2 linked regions of the Diceros bicornis minor genome follow. The protein of the gene in region 1 binds, or shares a complex with, the protein of each later gene. Links are inferred from orthologs where the notes say so. Each region holds a gene or a part of one and is shown in the gene's direction. Other genes may lie near its edges.

What was found.
Region 2: the proteins of TOMM5 (region 1) and VDAC2 are in contact, whole or in part, in a cryo-EM structure (PDB 9EII), measured with the Homo sapiens proteins. The link is inferred for Diceros bicornis minor from reciprocal best matches to the Homo sapiens genes TOMM5 and VDAC2. Residues at the interface, in NP_001001790.1 of Homo sapiens: Ile25, Arg29, Leu32, Ile33, Ala36, Arg39, Val40, Phe43, Ile44, Lys47; in NP_001171752.1 of Homo sapiens: Val38, Thr60, Gly63, Asp239, Tyr258, Gln260, Thr261, Leu262, Leu268, Leu270, Val286, Leu288.

The regions. Positions count from the first base shown.
Region 1 is NC_080767.1:6,384,073-6,395,419, forward strand, and holds TOMM5 (mitochondrial import receptor subunit TOM5 homolog), read left to right. Parts: upstream 1-6,700; 5' UTR 6,701-6,763; coding exon 6,764-6,884; intron 6,885-9,991; coding exon 9,992-10,026; 3' UTR 10,027-10,508; downstream 10,509-11,347.
Region 2 is NC_080745.1:31,597,483-31,609,794, reverse strand, and holds the start of VDAC2 (voltage-dependent anion-selective channel protein 2), read left to right. Parts: upstream 1-7,801; 5' UTR 7,802-7,910; intron 7,911-8,116; 5' UTR 8,117-8,140; coding exon 8,141-8,171; intron 8,172-9,271; coding exon 9,272-9,340; intron 9,341-10,171; coding exon 10,172-10,221; intron 10,222-12,312. UniProt on the Homo sapiens protein: Non-selective voltage-gated ion channel that mediates the transport of anions and cations through the mitochondrion outer membrane and plasma membrane.

The DNA.
Region 1 (11,347 bases):
TAACGAGAAAAGTTAAGGTTTGGATAAAGGAACACTGGAAAATGTTAAGAGAATTTTGCAACGTTAATTTTAGCCTGGAGCGTCAACAAGCATCAAGGAAGACCCAAGCTGCCTTTACACATCCATGAGGAACAAGGATCAGACTTGCTTTTGACACTCTGGAGGACATTACTGGGACCAGTGAGAATATGGTGTAGAGAGGCAGATTTTGGCTCTAATAAGAAGAATTGCCAGGGGGCCGGCTTGGTAGTGTAGCGGTTAAGTTCGCAGGCTCTGCTTCGGAGGCCCGGGATTCGTCAGTTCGGATCCTGAGCGCGGACCCACGCACCGCTCATCAAGCCATGCTGAGGTGGCATCCTGCAAAGAGCAACTAGAAGGATGTACAACTATGACATACAACTATCTACTGGGGTTTTGGGGAGAAAAAAGGGAAAAAAAAAGGAGGAAGCTTGGCAACAAGTGTTAGCTCAGGACCAATCTTCCTCAAAAAAAAAAAAAAGAAGAAGAAGAAGAGGAAGAACTGCCTATCCAAAGACGGATGGAGCTGCCCAGGAAAATGGTGAGCTCTCCATCACCGGAGATGCTCAAGCAAAAGCAGGGATGTTAGAGGTGGAGGCCAGGCATTAGAGAAAGCTTGGAGGGCCTTTCAGGCCATTCCAGACCTGAGATTTTGAGACTCTCTGGAGAAAATGGTTAGGATAAGGCTTCACATATTAAGGCCTGACCTTTATCCTCCCCAAATGGAGTCTAAATATTATGTAATGGGAAGATGGCATGTTCCTTCATTCACAGTTTGTACAAACAATATATAGCAATTCAACTTTTTTTTTGGTGAGGAAGATTGCCCCTGAGCTAATATCTGTTGCCAATCTTCCTCTTTTTGCTTGAGGAAGATTGTTGCTGAGCTAACATTTGTGCCAGTCTTCCTCTATTTTCTATGTGGGACATCGCCACAGCATGCTTGATGAGCAGTGTGTAGGTCTGTGCCTGAGATCCGAACCCGTGAACCCCAGGCCACCGAAGTGCAGCACGCGAACTTAACCACTATGCCACTGGGCCCGCCCCAGCAATTCAACTTTGATATGCAAGAACAAAATGTATTTCTACCTTTAGGAAACTGTTTTTTTCCTAAGACGTGAAAATATGCGTGTGGGTATCTACTGATTGGCTTTGATCAGGCAGGTGTCATCCTGAAAATGCTGGGGGCAGGGTGTGGAGAATGGATACTATAGCCTCATCTGTATGTCCTGCATAGGTTGGGAAAAGGAGCTCACTTCCTGCTTTCTCCAAGGGCTCCCCACAAGGTGTGAGAGCAAGTCGAACAGCACAGAAGGTAGATCTGTGATCACTGAATCAGTGAAAGATTCTTTCTTTCCTTCCATCTTTTTCTATCACTTGATAAACATTAACTGAGCACCTATTATATGACAGGCACTGCATTTTTATTAAAAAGCAAGAAACTATATCCGCCTGGATAGGCACATTTCTATAACATATACACGTGTTTTGTGTAATGCGAGTAGGGTAGGAGTGGCGGGAGAATCGCCTCTTTACCTCTGCAGGGAGATGGCTGGTAATCATGATGTGGTCTAAATAACGTCAATGCAAACTGAGCCCTTGAGTACATTTTTCTTTTCCTGCTGAAAAATAATAAGAATTTATAGCACAAGGAAGCAAACTTCTTTTAAAAACAAACAAAATTCCCCATCCCTTATTTGTAATTACCAGAAGTCTAGAGATCCGACACCTACACTCTTGGCCAGAAAGTCCTTTTTACCTCAGAAAAAAGAGAATCACTGGGAAAAACTGAGAACTCTGAATTTAAGGTAATAATTATAATGACCAGAGAACTTTTTAAGGCTGCACAAAGATAGTGTTATAAGCATATTACTTGGAGTATTATTTATAGGGAAAATAGGAAGCAACCTAAATGCTCAAAGGTAGAGCTTAATTAAATAAATTATGGTACATCCGTATAAAGAATACCAGACAGCCATCATTAATGATGTTTAGAAAAATATTTAAATATATAGGAAGATAGTCAATATAACTTGAATGGAAAATGCAAGTTAAATTAGCATATACTACATGATCCATTTTTGTAAAAAAATACATATGTAGGGGCCAGCCCGGTGGCATGGCAGTTGGGTTCGTGCGCTCAGCTTCGGCACCCTGGGGTTCATAGATTCAGATGCCGGGCGCGGACCTACGCACCGCTTACCAAACCATGCTGTGGCGGCATCCCATATAAAGTGGAGGAAGATGGGCACAGATGTTAGCCCAGGGCCAATCTTCCTCAGCAACAAAGAGGAGGATTGGCAACAGATGTTAGCTCAGAGTTAATCTTCCTCCAAAAAAAAAATACATATGTAAATGGGGGTGTGTGTGTGTATACACATTTATATGTACATATACGTACACACACATGTATAAAGAGAAACAGAGAGAGAGAGAGCTATATACGTATATGATAGAAGAAGAAAGGCTGAAAGGATTATGACCAATGTCAATAGTGGTTGCGGGATTACGGGGATTGTTATTTTTCTCTAATTCTATATTTGCTAAATTTTATAGTAATAAACATACTTTTGTGAAAAAAGAAGTTATTAAAATTATAATATGGCTTTGATATATTGCTAAAAATAAATTAGAGTAAATTTTAAAGTTCATTCTTTAACTTTGCTTACAATACATTAAAATTATTTAAATGATTTTTATTCAGCCAAACAAAAACAAGTCATACTAAAATAGTGAGAAATAAAAATATTATATAGAATTTTGGGTACATTTCTTTTGTGGACAATTTCCTTTCAATCCAACATACAAAGCTATCAATTTTTTAATTCTAAAGGTTAGCAGATATGAATTTCATTCATTCATTCATTCACTCAAGGGGTACTTACTGAGTTTTTACCATGTATAAATGCCTGTCCCCAACTGTTTGGAAGATTAAAGTACGTGTTCCTTGTACTTGAGGTGCTTATGATCTACTTGGAAAGAGATCAAACCTTCCTTAATCATCCAGACCTAAAAATTAGAACAGAGAACAGGGTATTATAGAAAGCCAATGCCAGTGAGGTGAAGGTTATCAAAATTCTACTCATCCTTTAAGGTTCAAAAGGCCCCTCTTTCTGAAGATGCCTCTTGCAGGGCAGTAATTTCTAGAAGTGTTATCCCCATGTGCTGGGGGAGGACTCCGGTTAGCATTCATCACACAGCAACCCTTACTGAGGGCCCAAGTGTGCTTTCCTTGTCCTGACCTTTGCTTCATCCGTCTTGGGTCCTGAGTGGACTTCAAAGCCAAGCTTGTTTTGCGAATCCAGACCATGTTCATCTCCTGAAGGAATGTGGAAAGAGAGGTGTGGAGCTGGAGAACAACACCATCCAGATTAACTACTGTGATGGGTGTGGAAACATGGAGAGAAGGGCTGCCCTCAGCCTGTTGATGAATAGCAGTCACCCCTTATGCTGTCCCTCCCAAACTGGGGCTGAACAGCACCCCATTCTTCCAATCCTTGTTCCTGAGGAGGGGATTGTCAACGAGAATATTTGCAAAGCATCGAAAGCTGCAAGGTATGATGGGAAAAAGTGCTGAACTGGGAGCCCAGAGAACTACCCTAGTTCCAGCTAGCTCTTCCTCTAACTAGCTTCCCTCTGGGCCTCAGTTTCCTCATCTGTCAAATGAAGGGATTAAACTGTTCAACACACAAAGCCTACATATTCCCTATAAATTAGAAATCACAAGGTTCCTGGGATCATATGTTTGAATTATTCCCCAATCATGAGTCATCTGTCAATCTCTGACCTTGCAAACACAAATTCCTCCCCAGTGATGGAAATTAAAACACTCCTTCTCTTGTGGGTAGGTTGTACACACTGAATGCTTGTGCGCAGCACTGTCTGGGAAGTTGAGTCAAAGGAAATGCCTCCTAATTCCTCTCGGGATAGAAATGGAAAACAAGACAGGCTATGACATCTGCTATCATTTCCTCTGTGATTAGACTTAATAATACAAATATCAATATTAAATTATGTGTGCATACTTTTTATTTTCGCCTTTCATGGCTAATCACAGGGAATTCTTTGTTTTTAGCCTTTAGTGCAAGGTAGTGAAGGAAGAACAGGAAAGATGAATGCAGAATTTCAGCACTTTAGAGCTGCAAGTGATTTTAAAGATTAGACGGAACCCTCATCATTCCAATGAGGAAGAAAATCAGGGGTCCAAGACCAGAAACAGCTCACTCCAGTGTTAACTTCCTGAAGTATGTTCTCTCATTTTGCCTCACAGAAACCAACCATAACTGGACAATACCATCACCTACATGCCGGAAAAAACCAAACCAACACAGAAAAAAACCAAAAGCTACTAAAAAAAAAAACACAGTAGCCTAACCTCTTCGAATGTTTCCTGCATTACCACGAGAGGACCCACGCAAGGGGAAGACAGAGTTCATCAGGAAGAACATGTCTGAGACAGGAACAGTTCACCCTCCTAACTGCATCCAGAACCCATTCCTCGTCCCAAGACACAGCTGCGCCATGTGTCCGTCCACTGCTTTCCTGTCCCTCTACAATTGGCAAGCACCAGACCTTTCTAAGGGTAACGCTGCCCTGTAACAAATCAGCCATTTACAGCCACATCATCTATCAAGTAAGTAGGTTTTCATATAGCATTGGATGAATAAAATTCAAATGCTAAAAATCTGTTCTTTCACCAAGAAACATGATTTTATGCTAATTTCTCCTCTCTCTGGTTCCTGATGAATCTAGGCAAGTTACTCAAAAACGTCTCAGTAAAGAAAAAAAAAATTGGTAGTTCCATGAAAACTGTTCATCTAAACTCAGTCAGCATTAAGGATCTAAGTTACTGGCATCACATAAGAACTCATTCCTTGCCAATCCGCTTCACCTCACTATTCAGGTGGAAGAGATATGCCTCACAGCTACACTCTTCCTACCAAGGAAAAACACATGCACTAGCTGTTTTGATGTCTGACCACATTTGATAATATTTTAATCTCCATACACTCCGGACCAGAGTGTCCTAGATGATACAATTAGAATTCGAATGCATAGACTGTTAGAACTGAAAGGGACTCTCAAGAGTATTTCACCATATCTCCTCCCTTTACAACTAAAGAAAAGGAGTTGCAGTGAAACAGACTTGTCCCTCGTCACATGGCTAGACAGCAGCAGTGCCAGATCTAGAGCCATGTCTTCAGTCTTCCTGTCCAGGTTCTTTCCACAGCCCCTGCTGCTTTCCAGCATCAGTGCAGACTTTCTAAACACTCTGGAAGGACTGGATGGAGGCTATTTCTTGGGAGTCAGCCCCTCCCATTCCAGAGATGCCTCGGCTATTCCACTGCATGAATTGTAGATGCAGGAGGTTAACTAAAGCTTGAATGCACAGGGAGTTCCCTCTCTTGCCTCAATGTGTTACATTCTGTCAATCTGGAAGGAGGGCATCAATGCTTACAGTTATCAGTTGCTCCCATAGTAAATTACTGTTCTAATTTATCCAAAATCCATTGTTGCTATGCAATGTGCAGTCAAGAAGGAACATTCTGGTTTTGAATTATGTGAACACTTCAGTCATCTGGTTTATGTCTAAGAATTATTTACGGCTAATTGGCATGCATAGTTTGGGGCAGCAGCCTTCTAACACTGTTTTGATGATTCTGTGACAGAAAATCTGGTTGTGTTCAGCTCCTGCCTCTGACTCCAGGGCTGCCCATCCAAGCAGGCATTAACTGTTGAAGACTAACGGAGGAGCAAGTAGCACGCAGAGGAAAAAGACTGTACCTTGACATTATGGTTATCTGCATTAGAACCCTGCCCCTGCCCATCACTAGCAGGATGACTTGAAGCAGCACACCAGGTTCCTAGCCTCCCTCTCCTCATCTGGAAAATGTTCAATAGATCTGGACTTGATTAATATATACTATATTATTGAGCCAGTATTATAACTTGTAAGGATCAGTTAACTCCAGAAATAAGAATGCAGTAATAATACGGAAAACGTTAAAAACTCCGTGTCTGCGATCCCGCAGGTCTAACTAGGTATAAAACCCTGCTCCGCATTTACTAGTCGTGTAATATTGAGGAAGTTTCCTCACCTTCGAAACTTGGGGAAATATCTTTCGTCTTTTTGTTTTAATCTAGCATGAAGAAGTTCAAATACACTCAAAATAGAAATATTAGAATAATTAACTAAAATGACGTGCCAATCACCGGCTTAAGCCACTTTAAAAAGTTTGCTAATATCGTTTCATCTCTCTTCCTCAACACTTCTTTTTTCCTGAGGTATTTTATAACACATTTGGGCAAGTTGTTTTAAAGATCTCTGTGCTTCAGTTTTCTCATCTAAGAAATGATTATAATATCTAATTCATGGGGTAGAATTCTACTGAGTACTCAATAAATGTTAGCTATTATTATTTATGATGGTACCTATGCGCACCGCTCCCCGCGAGGCGCAGAAACTGTGCAGCGTAGCGCGCCCGGCTCAAGACCGAGGTTATTAACCCAACAGCCTAGAGGAAGCCTCTAGGTCCTGCATCGCTAAGGTCGCGTCCGCCCCCTTCAGGCCGCGCTCCTTCAGAACCGCTCGAGACGGACGAGGTTTGGCCCTCGCAGCCTCCCGTCGCCGCGCGCGAAAACGAGAGGCGGGGACAGGAAATGGGGTTGGGCCGAGTTCCGGGCGCGAGGCGGCGGCTGGGGAGAGCAGAGCGCCGCTCTTGGAAGCCCGTCAGGCAGATCTGCGATGTTCCGGATCGAGGGCCTCGCGCCGAAGCTGGACCCGGAGGAGATGAAACGGAAGATGCGCGAGGACGTGATCTCCTCCATACGGAACTTCCTCATCTACGTGGCCCTGCTGCGAGTCAGTGAGTGTCCTTCCAGCTCTGGCCGTGGGACCCGCTGGGAGCTCGCCGCCTCTGCCCCGCGCTGATCCTGCAGGCCTCTGCGGCCTTGAGCTGAGCGCAGCGGCCGCGGGAAGCAGGGCGGTGCGCGTCGCGGGCGGCGGGTGTGTGCGCGGCTTAGTGCTGCGGGCCTCGGTGGGGCTGCCCACGTGCGCGCGCTGGCCCCGACTGCGCAGCTGATCACCCCGCCCCCCTGCCCTAAGGGCTTAGAGTCGAGAGAGCCTCCAGGGATGTCCCCCAGAGCAGCTCCCGCGTTTCGCATAGGAACAGGTCTAGAGTAGACAAATGGCTGGCTCAAGGTCACTCGGCGGTTCAGTGAATGATCTTGACCTAGAACCCAGAACTCTCAACTCAATCGAGTTTCCTTCCTTCAGTGCTGACCTTTGAAATCCAAAAGGTTTTGCTGCCTTTGTTTATTTGTACAGAGGGTGAAGTAAATAATTGCTTTTTTGGAAAGCATGAGAAGAAAAGTCTGTAGGAGTACTGATGATACCTGAGGGTTTATTTGATTTTAGTTGCATTTCCTAGTCTTGATAGTAGCCCTTTGAGGGAGGCCGGGCCTGAGATTCTGTATATCCCCTTTGTAAGTGAGAACTCGGCTTTCAGAGGAGACTTATGCAAGGTGTCAGAGTTACAGGCACACTGGATATTAGAGCTGGATGCTGCTTTGTAGATAGTTCTCTAGTTGTACTGATAAGAATCTCAGAAGTGATTTGCCCCGCACCTTATTTTCAGTTTAGTATTCTTTTCATTGCTTCTTGCTGTATACTGTTGGCACGTCTGGATGGAGAGTCCGGGATGATTCAAATAAATGAAGGCCATACCAAGGTCATCCTGTAGAAGGCTCATGTTGGGCTAGGCCGGAGCTCCCTGAGGCCCGGTCTCCCTAGCTCCGTGCCTCTTCCACTGTCTGTGGTATTACTCTGCTTCCCCAGGAGAGGGAGCGCTGGTGAACAGAAACTCCCAAATAATCCTGCTCCTTCAGCAGCTTTTTACAACTCCCAAATTCACTTATTTCTTCTTCCTCTTACCGTATTTTGTTGACTTAGCTGCCAGTAAAATATTTAGTTCTTATCAGTGACCCTTGTATTAGATATGAATTGGTTTAAACAAAAACACAGAATACTGTTCATTATTATCACTTTTTAAATTGAGATATAATTAGCATATTAGTATACAATTCACCCATTTAAAGTATACAATTCAGTGGTTCTTAGTATAGTCAGAGTTGTGCAGCCATCACCACAATCTTTTTAGAACATTTCTTTCCCCCTGAAAGAAACACAATACCCATTAGCTGTCATTCTCCATTTTCCCCCTTCTCCAGCCCTTGGCAACCTCTAATCTCTTTGCCTTTGTGGGTTTCCCTATTATGGACATTTCATATGAATGGAATTGTACAATATGAGACCTTTTGTGTCTGGCTTATTTCACTTAGCATAATGTTTTCAAGGTTCATGTGTATTGTATCATGTATCAATATTTCCTTCCTTTTATTGCTGAATAATATTCCATTGTATGGATATACCCCATTTTGTTTATCTATTCATTTGATGGATGTTCCTTTTTTCTCTGATAAGAATTAGTGGAAAGACTGGACATGACTTTGTCAGCTTCCAGCAGATCTCAATATCTTCAGTTTAATATTAATAAAATGTTTTATTAATTATGTGTATTGAGAAAGAAGATCATTCTGGCAGCTTTTTTGGTCACAGCCCTTTTGTTTCCAATTTTTTTTTCTATTGTGGTAAAATACACAACATAAAATTTACCATCTTAACTATTTTTAAGTGTACAGTGTAGTGGTAGTAAATACATTCATAATATACAACCATCACCCACCATCCATCTCCAGAACTCTTTTCATCTTGTAAAACTGAAACTCTATACCCATTAAACAATAACTCTCCATTCCCCCATCCTCCCAGTCCCTGGCAACCACCATTCTACTTTCTGTCTCTGTGATTTTGACCACTCTAAATATCTCATAAGTGGAATCATACAGTATTTGTCTTTTTGTAACTGACTTATTTTGCTTAGCATAATGTCCTAAGATTCGTCCACGTTGTAACATATGTCAGAATCTCCTTCCTTTTGAAGGCTGAATGCTACTATTGTATACCTCAGTTTTGCTTATTCATTCATTCGTCTTTGGACACTTGGGTTGCTTCTTTGAGCTACTGTGAATAATGCTGCTATGAACATGGATGTACAAATACCTCTATTTTTAATTTTTTGAGGAACCACCATACTGTGTTTCATAGCAGTTATACATTCCCACCAACAGTATGCAAAGGTTCCAATTTCTCTGCATCCTTGCCAACAGTTTTTTTGATGCTAGCCATCCTAGTGGATGTGAGGTGGTATCTCATTGTAGTTTTAATTTGCATTGCTCTAATGATTAATGATGTTGAGTATCTTTTTATATGCTTATTTTGGCCGCACTTTTACACAGGCTACAGTAATATCACTTCTTCAGATCCCTATGACAACACTTCATAGTTTTCTAGACATTTGTGTCTACACCATCCTGATGGACTCTTATAACAACTGAAGTTGGACTGTGTCATATGTGATACATAGGTGATCAGTGGGAGAATCAAAATGTGTGTCCTGCTCTTCTGGTTCCCTAGTTCAGTGTTGTTTTCCTGCATCCTCTGCCTTCTTTCAAATGTATTTTTAAAGGTGAAAAATGCCAATTTGTTTTTTCTACAGTTTTGTTCCTTTGACAGTTAAATCACCAAAGTAAAGGACTGTCATTTGAAAGATTTAAATTGGATTTACTCTTTATGGCCCTGGGAGGTAGAACTACCTGGAGAAAAGTAAAATCTTTTGTAAAAATGAACCTTATAATAATCATAGCTGCCTGACACTGGAATGGGCCCCCTTGACAGAATGAGTCCCTTTTGCTGGGTTATGCAGCCGGAGTCTTGGCCATCACTTGGAGTTGTTTTCAAAAATGTGTTGAACTAAACCTGTAGGGTTTACCCCCCAATCTTATAATTCCATAATGTAACTTGTGGGCTAACAGATCTGAAAACAAATTCTGGGTTTATTTATTTTTCTTTCAGCTCCTTTCATCTTAAAGAAATTGGACAGCATGTGAAGATTGGGCATCACATGTGAATGCATGATATGAAGAACCTGCTGATGGTTTCTACTGCTATCTGCAAATGAATAGTTCCAGAAAGATGTGAGAGCCTCTTTGGACATAAAAATTCTACTAGTTAAGAACAAGTTTGGCTCTAGTAACTGACCTTCATACCGAAATATAAAACTGTTTGGGAAGTTTGAAATGACGTTTTATGGTCATAGTATACCCTTATGCCTGTGATATTCAGCGTCCATGAATGTTGGTGTAATTGTAAATAATGTCAAACTCCATTTTCTAGCAAGTATTAATTATAAGGGAATTATGTCTGCAATGGCACTGTCTTGTCAGTCATTTCTGTTTACCTTTTTACTTCTGTCTGGAGTATATTTGTTGAAGAGTTCTTATGATTAGTTAGGTTTTATGGAAGCCAGCACACAACCACGGTGACATTTAAGCACAAGACCGTTAGTCTATATTTTTAATAAACATGCCAATTAAGAAAAATTGGGTTTTTATTTTTCTTAACCCACCTTTTCCTGCAAAGCAGCAATCACTAGTGAGACTACTATAATGCTGGGATTATTACAAACTGCGTTCAATTGAGTTCCTCTTGTTTTGGGCTGGAGAATTTGCTAATCCCGATAAAGCAACATTGTTTTATTCTTAAGCAGTCTTTGTGAAAGGCAACGTTACTGCTTGATGCTGAGAATATGTAATACTGCTAAAGGGGAAAATGCTATATTTTTAAGTCAGATAGTTCTCCAGGTTTATTGGGGAATGGGGACAGTCCTTAACCTTCTTCCCAGAGACAACTACCTTCACCTCTTATTAGCTAATTATAGGTATTCACCTGCATGTCTCTAAATAACATGATTTTATTGTTACCGTATGATTTTTCCGTTTTAGACATTGCCCACTGAATTCTCCATGCATGTAAGGGTTTAGATGTCTTTCCTCTCCTTGCCTCCATCACTCACACATCTCTTCTGATTTCTTCTTCCTTCCAGTGTACTTGTTAGTGTGATTTTGATTTAGATCGATTTCATTAGGGCTCCAAATGCTGTTTGTGTTTTCTTTTCCTGTATGTCCTTTGTTTTTTCTAGGCTTAGTTTTCTATGAACTTACCACCAAAGCAGCTAAACTTTTTGCCATTTATCTAAATTGATCACGATGTTCAGTTTCATTAGATATGATGTTTCATCTTGCTGAGTAATTCTTTCTGGAGCTTTCTGACCTGCCCTAGTCTAGTCTTGTAGTCTTCTCTGCCTGATGTATGACTATATTCTGGGATCTCCCTTCACCAGGATCCTGGGAATTCCTTTTCCTTTTCTCC
Region 2 (12,312 bases), on another chromosome or scaffold:
GCCCCCAGTCTCTAGACATAGCATGTGAATCATATGAAATCCAATTGCTTTACTTCCAACCAAAGGTCTAGGAGAACTCAAATTGTTGGGAAGGATGTATCCTTCCCAACTTCAAACTGACCAACCTCCTACAGCCAGAAATAATGGCCCATTGTCCCTCTGGCTTCCTCATCAGCTTCCCTCTGTACTTAGTGTCCAGGCGGCTGGCAGCCAAGCTGCCCTTGTGACTTTCCCAGGCCTCAGAACTCTCCCTCACCCTCCTTCCACTGCTTCCCACACCAGCCCCAGAGACACAGGGCAGCCACACAGTAGATGCAGGCAGCCGTGGGATGTGAGTCATGAGACATTCTCAGTGCTGACCCAGTGACAAGTCTGTGGAGAAGCCAGCTTCCCTATCCCCCATGTACCTTCATTGTGGAGGCTCACACCCTCATCACAAATTTACCAGGGAGGGCCGGCCCCGTGGCTTGGCGGTTAAGTGCGCGCGCTGTGCTGCCGGCGGCCCGGGTTCGGATCCCGGGTGCGCACCGACGCACCGCTCCTCTGGCCATGCTGAGGCCGCGTCCCACATACGGCAACTAGAAGGATGTGCAGCTATGACAGACAACTATCTGCTGGGGCTTTGGGGGAAAAATAAAATAAATAAAATCTTTAAAAAAAAAAAACAAAAAACAAATTTACCAGGGAAAGTTTTTTAAGCCAACTATCTCTGCTAATGGGCCATGACAAGGATGGTCCAAAGCAGTGGACTCTTTGAATGTTCCATAAATATGATTAGTCACCCTCAATGGGTAAGGCTTGGACAATGGGGAGGCAATGTGAATGGTGGTTAAGAGCATATGATCCAGACTCAGACAGAGCTGGGTTTCAGTTTTGTCTCCACCACTTACAGAACTAGCTATGCATCCTGGGCCAGTTACCTCACCTCTGTAAGCTCATATTTCTTATCTATAACAGGTATAACAAGTATCTTTATAGTATATTATATAAGAATCAAATAAAGCATACTAAATATTTAGAGCAATGCCTGGCACAAAGCAAGTGCCTGATACATGTTAGCCCTGATTATTTTGAGTGTGTTTATCATTACTAATGTCATCACTATTAGATATTGGATGGGTCAGTGGGTGGGGATAAAGTTGTATAAGAAATCGTTCTCACCATTAAAGAGTTTGATCATGGAGCCAGCCCCGGCACAGCGGTTAAGTGCGCGCGCTCCACTGCTGGCGCCCGGGCGCACACCGATGCACCGCTTGTCAGGCCATGCTGTGGCGGCATCCCATATAAAGATGGAGGAAAATGGACACCGATGTTAGCCCAGGGCCAGTGTTCCTCAGCCAAAAAAAAAAAAGGAGGATTGGCATGGATGTTAGCTCAAGGCTGATCTTCCTCACAAAAAAAAAAAAAAAGAGTGTGATTGGGAAGACAGAAGGTACAAGTATTTTTTTGAAAACATGATATGGAGGTAAATTTTACTTTGAAACAAAAGAACTGTAAACAAATATTGAACTCTAGGTAATGATATGCATGCTGAAGTCTTTAGGGGTGAAGTGTACTGATGTCTGCAACTGACTTTGAAATGTATAAAAAAGGTAAGAGGAATTGATGAATGGATAAATGGATAGACATGGGATAAAGTAAATACAGCAAAATGGTAGTTGTGGAATCTAGGTAGTAGATATATAGGTGTTCATTATACAATTCTTTCAACTATTCTGTATGCTTGAAAATTTTCATAATAAAATAATGGGAAAATATGTAATAAATGCCGTAAAGTAACAAATGCCATAGAAATTTAGAGAAAGTAAAATGAACCTGTAGCTGGTAAGTCAGAGAAAAAACTGTGGTGTGGTGAGAATACATTTGAGTTCGGCTTTAAAAGGATTCAGGTGGTTTAACTCAAAGCAGTGGGAACAAGGAAGCATTCTAGGTGGAACAAGAAGCGTAAACAAAGGCAATGACACTAAAAACACCATGATTTGGGAACAGTCTGTGACCTGAATTAGCACACGTGGCTGGTGGGAACCATGACTGATGGAAGGCAGAGTAGGACCATGGTCCATCTTCCTTATATCAGGGACCTTATCCTATAGGTAAAGGGGAGCCACTGAAGTCTCTGAAGCAGGATTCTCTGTGCCTTTTCCCTGTTACTTTGGGCTAAGCTTTTCCATAGAGGAAGGTGTGAGCTTTTGCAATCATCACTGTAACATCAGTGTGAACAATACACACAGGGTTCACCAGTGTAATTGGAACTCTGAGCAAGATTGGAACTCTGAGCAAGACCACAGGTTGCTGACTGGATAATAAACAGCTTTATATCAGTCTCTACATCAACCCAGAATCACTACACTGGAATATCAATTGACAGAAACTGCATGAAGCTTGCACTTAATTTGTGTCCTGACTGTTAAGCTGTAACTCCACCCCTTGCTTTAATCATCACATCTTATATTAAATACTAAATCAAAATGGAGTCCACGCTGCATGTAATCTGGAAAGCTATAGAATGCTCCTCCTTTCCCCTAGTCACTGCTGGGATTTGATAGACAGTCTAGATCAGTGGTTTTCATGCTTTAGTGTGTCTATGAATGACAGCCCAAAGTTGTATGCACAAAACCAGGCACACTGTCCTTTTTGTGCAATTTCAGTGATTTTTCACAGGTACTGGCTTGACTTTCAAGCTCAGTTAATCCTAGGATGCCCCTCACCCTCAACTGTAGGTCCTAACTCCCCAAAATTTTTTAAGTCCCTGGCCTTAGTTTTCATCCCAGTCCTGTCTGTGCTTCCTGCTTCCTCGTCTGTCCTCCCACTGCTGCCCTCCCTGCCACCCCATCCCACAGTGCCCTCTAGAACATTGTTCTATTGTAAACAAACTACCCTAAGTCCTCAGCTTCACCACTGAATGCTCTTTCACTCTCCTCATAAAACTACCTTTTCCCCTGGATATTGGGTCCCAGGGAATACTGCTCATTCTCCCACGCCCTCCCCAACCCTAGGGCTGGACCTGGGCATGGGACGGGTGGCCACTTTCTTCACTCCTCCACCCTCCTATAAAATCACCTCCTTTGAGGTTCATGCCATCAGTTCTACCATCCTCTACTTGTCATCCTTTATAACCAGTTTCCCATGCTCCCTGAGGACTTTGGCACTTAACTCATAGTTTTCCTCTCTACCTCTTATCCTGGCAACATCCTGGTGACTTCAGTTTCCCTGCCAACAACCTGAGCCTATCCCACCATTGTGCATTGGATATGTGTGGGGCAGATGCCTCCAACAACTAAGCCTCACCCATCATCCTTGACCATCTCAACTCCAGTGAACTTCACTTCCACGACCCAGAATGCTCCGCTGCTAAATCTTACATCCCAACGTCCCGCATTCTAACCGTAACCACAGCTTACAGTCTTCTTTCTTTCTCTCACTCTCTCTTCTCATCTCAATGTTTGTTTCCATTGCATGAAGATTCCCAGTCCCTAACCCTAATATTAGACCTGGGCAAGAGGGGCCCCCACCCTGGGCCTCATACTTTAGAGTGACTCACTCTAACCCTTCTCACATTGTGCCTTTTCCTATGGGGTGAGGAGTCTGCAGGGCCAAGGGAACATGCCCACCAAAGCCCATGCCCACCCTTTCCTTATCTGGACCAAACTCTGGATACAGAAGATCTCAGTCTTCCCAGTTGAAACAGTCCTGAGCCTCATTCTGGGGCCTGCATGGACTTCTCCAGAGCCCTTTCTTCTGAGCATGGATTGAACTGCCAGTGACACACCCCTAAGCCCATGGGATAGTCAAGGAGCATATGTATGTGAGGCGGGATGGAGCTTGGATGTGTGGGCTGGGGTGTATTCCTCACACTGAAGGACAGAGCCTGGGGCAGGAAGAGAAGGAATGTGTATCTAGAGCTGGCTCTCCCCATGTGACCTCATCTGGCACAGACAGGAGTAGGACTGAGTCCTAATAAAGGCATCTTCAAAATTTGTCTGGCTGGATTTCAGAACTGTTGTGGACTCCTGTGTATCTCCTGTTTCCCTCTTTTTGACCAGGGGTGTCTTTAGCAGTTATCCTGTGCCTATCCCACTCTGTGTGTGTTAGATGTGTGTGTAGGGGGCAGACAGCTTCTCTCTTTACTTCATAGGTCTTCAAATCAAGAGGAACTGTACTGGAGTTGCTGCACTTAAGGAACTACACCTGAGAGGCCTCTTGCTGATGCTATAAAGGCTGGAGGTTTTGGGGAAGTCTTGGGAGGGAATCAGTGTATTTTCTGTTTAGGAGAAATAGAAATAATGTGACCAGAGGATCGACTGTGGTGATTTAAAATATGTCCACAAATCCTTTGACACTCCTTTCAAAAGGTGGAGCCTAATTGCTCTTCCCTTGAGTGTGGACTAGTCTTAGTAACTGACTTCTAACAAAGAGAATAAGGCAGAAATGACAGTGTGATTCCTGAGGCTGGATCATATAAGACATTGCGCCTTCAGTCTCTCTCTCTCTCTCTCTCTCTCTCGAATCACTTGCTCTGGGAGAAGCAGCTGCCGTGTCATGAGGACACTCAAGCAGCCCTATGGAGAGATCCACATGATGAGGACCTGAGGCCTCTTCCCAATAGCCACATGAGGGAGCCATCTTGGAGGTGGATCCTTCAGCACAGTCAAGCCTTTAAAAGACTGTAGCCCCAGCCAACATCTTGACTGCAACCTCATGAGAGGCCCTGAGCCAGAACCACCCAACTAAGCCATTCCCTAATTTCTGACCCACAGAAGCTTCCAGATAATAAAATGTTTGTTGTTTTAAGCTACTAAGTTTTGGGGTAATTTGTTACACAGTAATAGTAACTAATACTCTGTCTTTACCTCACTTGAGTGCTCCTCAGGATGTGACACTGTTGAGTGCTCCTTCCTCCCCACTGCTCTCCCCTTTGGCTTCCAGGAAAACACTCCCTCCTGAGTTTTCTTTTAGCCTCTTACCCAGACCTTTCTCCTAGGCTTCATAATTGCCTACTGGACAACTCCATTTAGATGTGGCCCCTGGCTCCTCATACTTATCCGAAATTGAATCATCCTCTTTACTCTCACACCTGTCCCTCTTCCTGTAGCCCTTCCGACAGTGAGTAGAACCTTTGTCCTCCCAGTTGCTCAAGCCAGAAATGTTGCTCCCAGCCACCCTAGACTCCTCCTCATTCACTGTTTTTAGGACCTTCAGTATTTAGCTCCAGCCAACATCTTTACACTAATCTCTCAACTTTTTCTACAGGTTTTTCCAGCTTTACTTACTTGTGGTTTCCAAATGATTCTTGTCACTTCAAGCCCCCATATGGCTTTGCACATACCTCTTTCTAGAATTTTGCGTTTCCATCTTTGACCTTAGGGCTTTTTAATTTTGATAAGTCCTACTTTGAAACTTTAGTGCAAGCGTCTCCTCAGCCTGACTGTGCCCACAGTCCTCTGTGGCAATATACTTTTACAAGGATGTTTGCATAGCAAACAGCCTTTGGAAATAGAGGTAGTGTCTCCTTCTAGGGCAGAGGCAAGATTTAATTTCCTGAGAAGTACACTGTAATGTCTCCCTCTGGGGCAAAGGTTGGGCAGGTTTTTTAGCAGCTCCTTATAAGCAGGGGGTTTCCTAAGGTCAGGATTCCTGAACTGTGACATAAATACATGGTGTGCACAGCTTCTACCTAGGTGCTCTGCATCACTCCTGTGGGACGTAGAAGGCAAGTGGAACTGATTCCACCATTAAGCTTATGCTGCCTGCTGTGCCACAAGTAACGAAGTCTTTTGTCTCTGACCTTCGAGTCTCATGTCTTCAGCCAGCATCTATAAACTTATGAACCTATGGCAAGCTAACTTGCTAGCTTGTAAGTAGGGTAAAATCTTAGACCCTTCACAGTTCTTGACACCTATATACACATGACTTTAAGTGCTTGAGAGCAGGAGCTGCGTCTGAATGGACTTTGCTTTCCCTGTGGGTGACACAAGGTAGTTGCTCTGTAAGTGGTGGCTGCTACTAATGCTGCTTTGGTCTAAAGGGCTTTGGAGGTAAGCACTCAGATACATTTACTGAATCCAACTTTGAAGTAAATTGCCGTGTTTCTTCTCCTGGTTATTAGGTATTGTGTACATTCCTTGGGTTTGTAGAGGGTGAAGCCTCAGATCAGTGTTCTGTACAAAGTGAAATTTTCTGGAGGTTAAAAATGCTACAGATAGTTCACAATGTGAATAAGCCTTACTGCAGGTAATGGAAGTGACTGAGCAGAGACTAGGTTCTTCTGGGAGGTGGTGTGTTATGCTGCAGTTGGAATGGGAAGTCAGTCTCTGCTATTAGCCTCACAACAGCATCAAACAGAGCCAGAGCAGACCAGCTCCCAGTGGAGCAAAGCTGATTTCAGACCAACCTGTCTGAGCTTGAATGAAAGAATTAATCAGTGCTTTTGGTGCCTGAACTGTTAGGAGCAAAGACTCCTCTCTTCTTCTAACCCTTTACATGAGTAATCCCAACCATGACCAGGCAAGATTGCTGGCTGGGTTTGCTCATGGGAGGGATATCTATCAGGCTGCAGCTTTAATCCGGTTTTGGATTGTGGAAGCCTATCTAGCTATGCTTTTCCTGGTACAGGAGAAGGGTGGAACCTTGGCAGCATTTGACCAGAGGTGGCTTTCAGAGCCAGAGGAAATCAGGGGGAAAAAGTCTTTGCTCATAGTCTGTGGCTGATGGCTATTAAAGACCACTTCATTTGATTTAAACCTGTCATTTTATAGATAAGGAAACTGGGGTACAAAGGGGATAAATTGCTAAGATGGGCGATTGATTCCGGAGCCTCGAGTGACCCCATTTCTAGCTCGTTAGGCTTTTTTTCTGTTCCCTTGGCTCCCTCTTCCTGTACACCCAGGAACTTGAGTGCAGCATTCTAATGCCTGGTCAGCATGATTCCTAAATTTTCTAGCAGGCTTGACTCACCAAGACAGCGTGGGTTCTGTGCATGTGCAAAGCAGTTCCATCCCTAAGCGGGCAGAAGGCGGCAGAAGAGGAACCCTAAGCACGGACGGAGGGTGGGATGGGAGGGGCGGGGCACCTTGAGATGTGCTCACGTTTGTTCAGGGACCGGCATGCCGAGGCCAACAGAGCCTCTCAGGCGGAGTCCCGCTCAGCATGGCGATTACACCGCCGCGGGAAACAGACGAAGGAAGGGAGGGCGCGAGGGACTGGAAGTGGTGACCCTGTGCCCCACTCGTTTCTCCCTGGGCCTGGACAGAGAGACGGTCTTTCAGAAGCGCACGTCGCACTTGCCTAGGGTAAACGGGAGTAAGGCTCAGCTACTTCCTTCCAGACGATCTATATGGCAGACGGCCTCGGCAGCTTCAGAGAACCACAGTCGAGAAACATAGTCGAGAGATGTACGTGACTTGCGGGGTGCGCAGCCACGCCCAGCCTCGCAGGGCTCCGCGCGGGCACGCGCCTGACGCCCCGCCCGCCCGTGACGAGCGCGCGCGGGGCCTCCGCCCCATCCCCCGCCCGTGCCATCCCCGCCGCGTTGCCTCTGCCGTTCCCCGCCCCCTCGCCTCTGGGGCTGCCCTCATCGTTGCCTGACCCGAGGTCCAGCAGCTTCTGCCTTTCCGGCCCCCGCCGACGGACGGAGGCGGTCCACTCCGGGGGCGGAGGTGCTCTCGGCCCACGAGGCCGTTCCGGAGCGGGTTGGAGTGGGCAGCGGGTGGCGCTGCGGAGACAGGCGCGGCGGACAGCCCCGGGGGCAGCGGCGGGGTCCTGGCGGGGGGAGGATAGGGTTGCGGCGGGCGGAACGGTGTCTCCTTCACTTCGCCCTCCAGCCGCGGCAGCTGCAGCGCGACCCCGAGCGAGCCGAGCGGTCTTAGCTGCGAACGGAGCGGCGGCGGCGGTTCTTCTCAGGAGACCAGCAGGTACCGCCGCGCCCGCCTCACTCCGACCTGGGAGTCTAGGCCTCGGCGGCTAAGCAGGAGGCTTGAGCCGGACTCGGGGTCGGCCCTGGCTCCCTAAGATGGCCGCGCTGCCCCGCGGCCCCTCGCCTTTCTCTGTTTGAGACCCCTTTCTGGCCTCTTGACCCGCCCCTCACCCCCGCTGACCGCACTTATTTTCTCTCCGGCAGATCACTTCTTCCCGCGGCCTCGCCATGACGACCTACGGACAGAGCTGCCCGCGGCGTAAGTGGAGAAGGGATCTCTGCGGGCTGGGGTGGCGGTGTCCGGGGAGTCGAAGCCTGTGGACCAGAAAACCGCAGCTTCTTTCCCCCCATCTCTCCAAGGACTTGGACATTCGCCCCTTTCGGTAGCCACTCCTCGGTCCTGACTCCCCCCGTCTCTGCGGAGGAGGGGCTGGGCTGCTGGATTTCGGATAAGAGGCCTAGGCCAGGGGAGTTGGTCTGTGGCTGCATTCACTTTCAGTTTTTGGACGTGTCTTTGACCAACTCAAAAGCAGAAAGTTATTTGTTGGATTCAGCCTTTGGAGGATTGGATCAGTCACTTTTCTAGAGGAAGTAGTAACTCCTCTGAGAGAGCGCAAGGTCATTACATGTGCTCCTAAGGGCGTGGACGTGCTTTGTAGAATGAATGAGCTAGTGTAAGTAGATCAGATTGCTTGCCCTTAAGCCACACAGCATTGGCCGAGGACTTGAGTGTCATATTAGTATGTTTAAAGTGCCGTTGGATAGTTAGTTGATGTAGACACTTGAGTGAAACATAGATGGCCCTTTTTTCCCTAAGTTTCAATATTTAAATTCCCATAGTGTAAATTAGCTTTCTCTTCCCACTCCAGAATGTTGGTTTTGACCTCAGTGAGGATACTAAGGGATATATTGGGGGAGAGGGCCTTGTGTTAGGTTTTGATTTCATCTCGTTTGGGTAAATCAGCCCGTTCCAGTGAATTTTGGCGGATATATCTGTATGTATAGATATATATGTGTGTATATGTTTGCATCTTTGTACTAGTCCAGTCCTAGGCGTTGAGGCTGTAGGCACTGTGTATAGTTAGGAATAGGAAGTCTGTTTTTCTATTTTGTAGAGAATTTCCCGAGTTCGTATAGCCACTTACTGTGGTTATCCATTTTAGAAATAAGCCTTTGTTGGTGATATGTCCTTCGTGGATCATTAGAATACAGTTTTATTGTAGCTCCTGGTGGTGTCAAAAACACATCTTCAACAGGTTAGACTGCTTGAATTTAAAGATAGCAGTGGGTCATAATCTAGTTCTTGGACAGAAAGTGGGAGAACTGCAACATTAACACTGGAATGTTTCTTCCCACCAGCAATGTGTGTTCCTCCCTCATACGCTGACCTTGGCAAAGCTGCCAGAGATATTTTCAACAAAGGATTTGGTAAGAACTTTTTAAAAAAATTTTAGATCAGAAGTGAAAATGTGTTTGGATTTCTTAGGGAAATTAAATTAGTAATTAAAATTGTAAATATTTTATTGTATTCTTCTTTTAGATAAATTTTAGATAAAATTTCTGTTAAAATAGTTTTGTAACAATCCACATCCCCTTCTACCCCAGTTTCCTCCAATTTTTTCAAACTCTAGTTTAAGGATTTTATCTTTAGGAAAAAAAACAACTGTGTTTTCATTTCCTTCAGTTATAGCTTATGCCGTGGTTGACTAGAATTAGGATATATTACTGTATTTTGCTTTTGTGGTGGTGACTCCTAATGGGTTATGTGCTTTGTCATTGAATTTGGGTTGTCTTGAAGATTTTTTTCCACTCCCGCCCTTTAGATTATTTCCCCAATTATTTAGATTTTTTAATCCCAAAGAGAGATATCCCTTTGGGATAAATGTTCTAAATGTTTGTATTATAATAAACTATTGGCTATTCTGAGATTTAAGTTGAATTGATTCTCTGATCTGGTATTTAGGTTTTAAAATGGTTTGAAAGCATTTTTTTTTTGGTGCCATATATACACCAAAACACTATGCAAAGCTGCGTAGAGTGGTTCTGTCCTTTACCTGTCAGTTTGCATAGAATAATTTAAAATTTTTTCATTTTAATACTGTGTATCAACATACATTTTTATCCCCTTCTGAATATGTGAAATCTTTTTTGAGTCAGCTCAACCAAGAGCTGACTACTTTTTTATGTGTGTAGTCAGCTCTTGGTTTGCATCTTTCATGTGAAAGAATCATTTTGTTATCTTTTGCTCTCTTCTTTAAGGTTTTGGGTTGGTGAAGCTGGATGTGAAAACAAAGTCATGCAGTGGCGTGGTGAGTGTTAGATATTTCATAAGTTCTGATGAGCCTTTATGTAGTATTCAACCTATAAAATAGTCATAACTGAAAGATGTCTACCCATTTTATCTTAAAGAAGAGGCAGAAGTTAATTTTGTTTTAAGGGATTTGCATGTAACTTGATTTATTTTGGCTTTGGATATGATTTCTTTTTTTCTTTCTTTCTTTCTTTCTTTTTTTTTTTTTGTGAGGAAGATCAGCCCTGAGCTAACATCCATGGTAATCCTCCTCTTTTTGCTGAGGAACACCGGCTCTGAGCTAACATCTATTGCCAATCCTCCTCCTTTTTTTTCCCCAAAGCCCCAGTAGATAGTTGTATGTCATAGTTGCACATCCTTCTAGTTGCTGTATGTGGGACGCGGCCTCAGCATGGCCGGAGAAGCAGTGCGTTGCTGCGCGTCCGGGACCCGAACCCGGGCCGCCAGTAGCGGAGCGCGCGCACTTAACCGCTAAGCCACGGGGCTGGCCCTGGATATGATTTCTGATTTTCTTGTGGTTTACTATGTATGCACAAGGAATTCGGGAAAGACACTGGCCATGTGGGACTCTGTTTACTCAGTAAAATTACAAGCTTGATGGCAGGGAGCCTGTTGGATTTTTTGGTAACCCTTTCTTTTAATGCCTATTAAAACCATTAAGAGTTCTGGGCATAAAAATATTCAATAACTCTTAATTTGAGTGTACCAATCGTTTATATAATGGTCAGATTCTAGCAGCCATCCTTGGGGAAGATTTCCCCATGTATTTTGTGAATTTAGAGAGTCCTCATTTGAGTATTTTTAAAGAGGTAATATTTTGGTATTTGCATGTCTTGATTCTGCCTAACAAATGCCCTCAAAGAGAGTAAAGTAATTTTGTGTAGTTTTTTTTCTTTGTCTAAGTTTTTTTTTTGAGGATGGGTATAGTGTGCATATTGAATATTTGTTATTTTGATAAATTCTTGCTGTAGTTGTTAATTCCTTTAGTGTATATAGCTGGTATTTATTAAAATTAATCATGTTGTCGTTTCTTAATGCCTAGACTTGGATTTCTGGGGTTTTATATTGGTCACATCTGTCATTTGGTTTATTTGATCTGAAAGGAAGCCTGAATATTCAGTGTGATTGAGTGACATTTGCTAAAGGTAACAGGCTACAGAGCAGTGACTTAGTGATTGTTTTTTGTGTTCCCACTCTTGACCTGTTGAGATGCCTTGTAAACACTTGTTGTGTAATCTATTGAAACACAAAAGGCCTTCCAAAAGAAAAAAACACTCAATCCTTGTGTTTAAAAACCTTACTTGCTGGTTGGAGAGATAAAATAAACTTTAAACTGGGGAACAATCAAAGAAGTATATCTAGTACTAGGTTGTTTGATAAATCAAAATCTTTCTTGGAAAAGAAAGGCTTATTGTGGACAGGGTTAAGGAAAGCTTTATGGAATTAGGTTTAAGATCATGAAGCATGTATAGGAGCTGGATTAGATAAAGCATGTTTTTGTTTCCATTTAATGTAAGTGCAGTCATGTGTCACGTAGCGACAAGGATACGTTCTGAGAAATGTATCGTTAGCTGGTTTTATCGTTGTGCGAACATCATCGAGTGTACTTACACAAACCTAGATGGTATAGCCTACTGCATGCCTAGGCTATATGGTACTAATCTTGTGGGACCACCATCGTATATGTGGTCTGTCATATATGTGTTGACTGAAACGTTGTTATGTGGCACATGACTAATTGAACCAGCATGATGCTTTGAAGTACCATAATCTTGTAATATGTACCTGGCCCCAAATAAGTCCCATTAATGGCTGGTTCTGTTTTCTCACCTGAACTGTATGTCCAGGCCACCCCAGAATGTAGAAGCGTAAATGTCTGGTGATGGAGTGAACAGTGTAAGCTCCACCAGTGGTGTCATCTAGCCCAATTCTGGTCTCACAGTGTGATCTTTTTGGTTTTGCGTCTTGAGAATTCCTTGACATCTATATACTCTGGCTCTCAATCTCTGGGCTGATGGATGGCAGTGGGTGGGTCCTGAGGTGTCATTAATCAGTGTCACTCAGGATTAAAAATAGCTACTCATACATA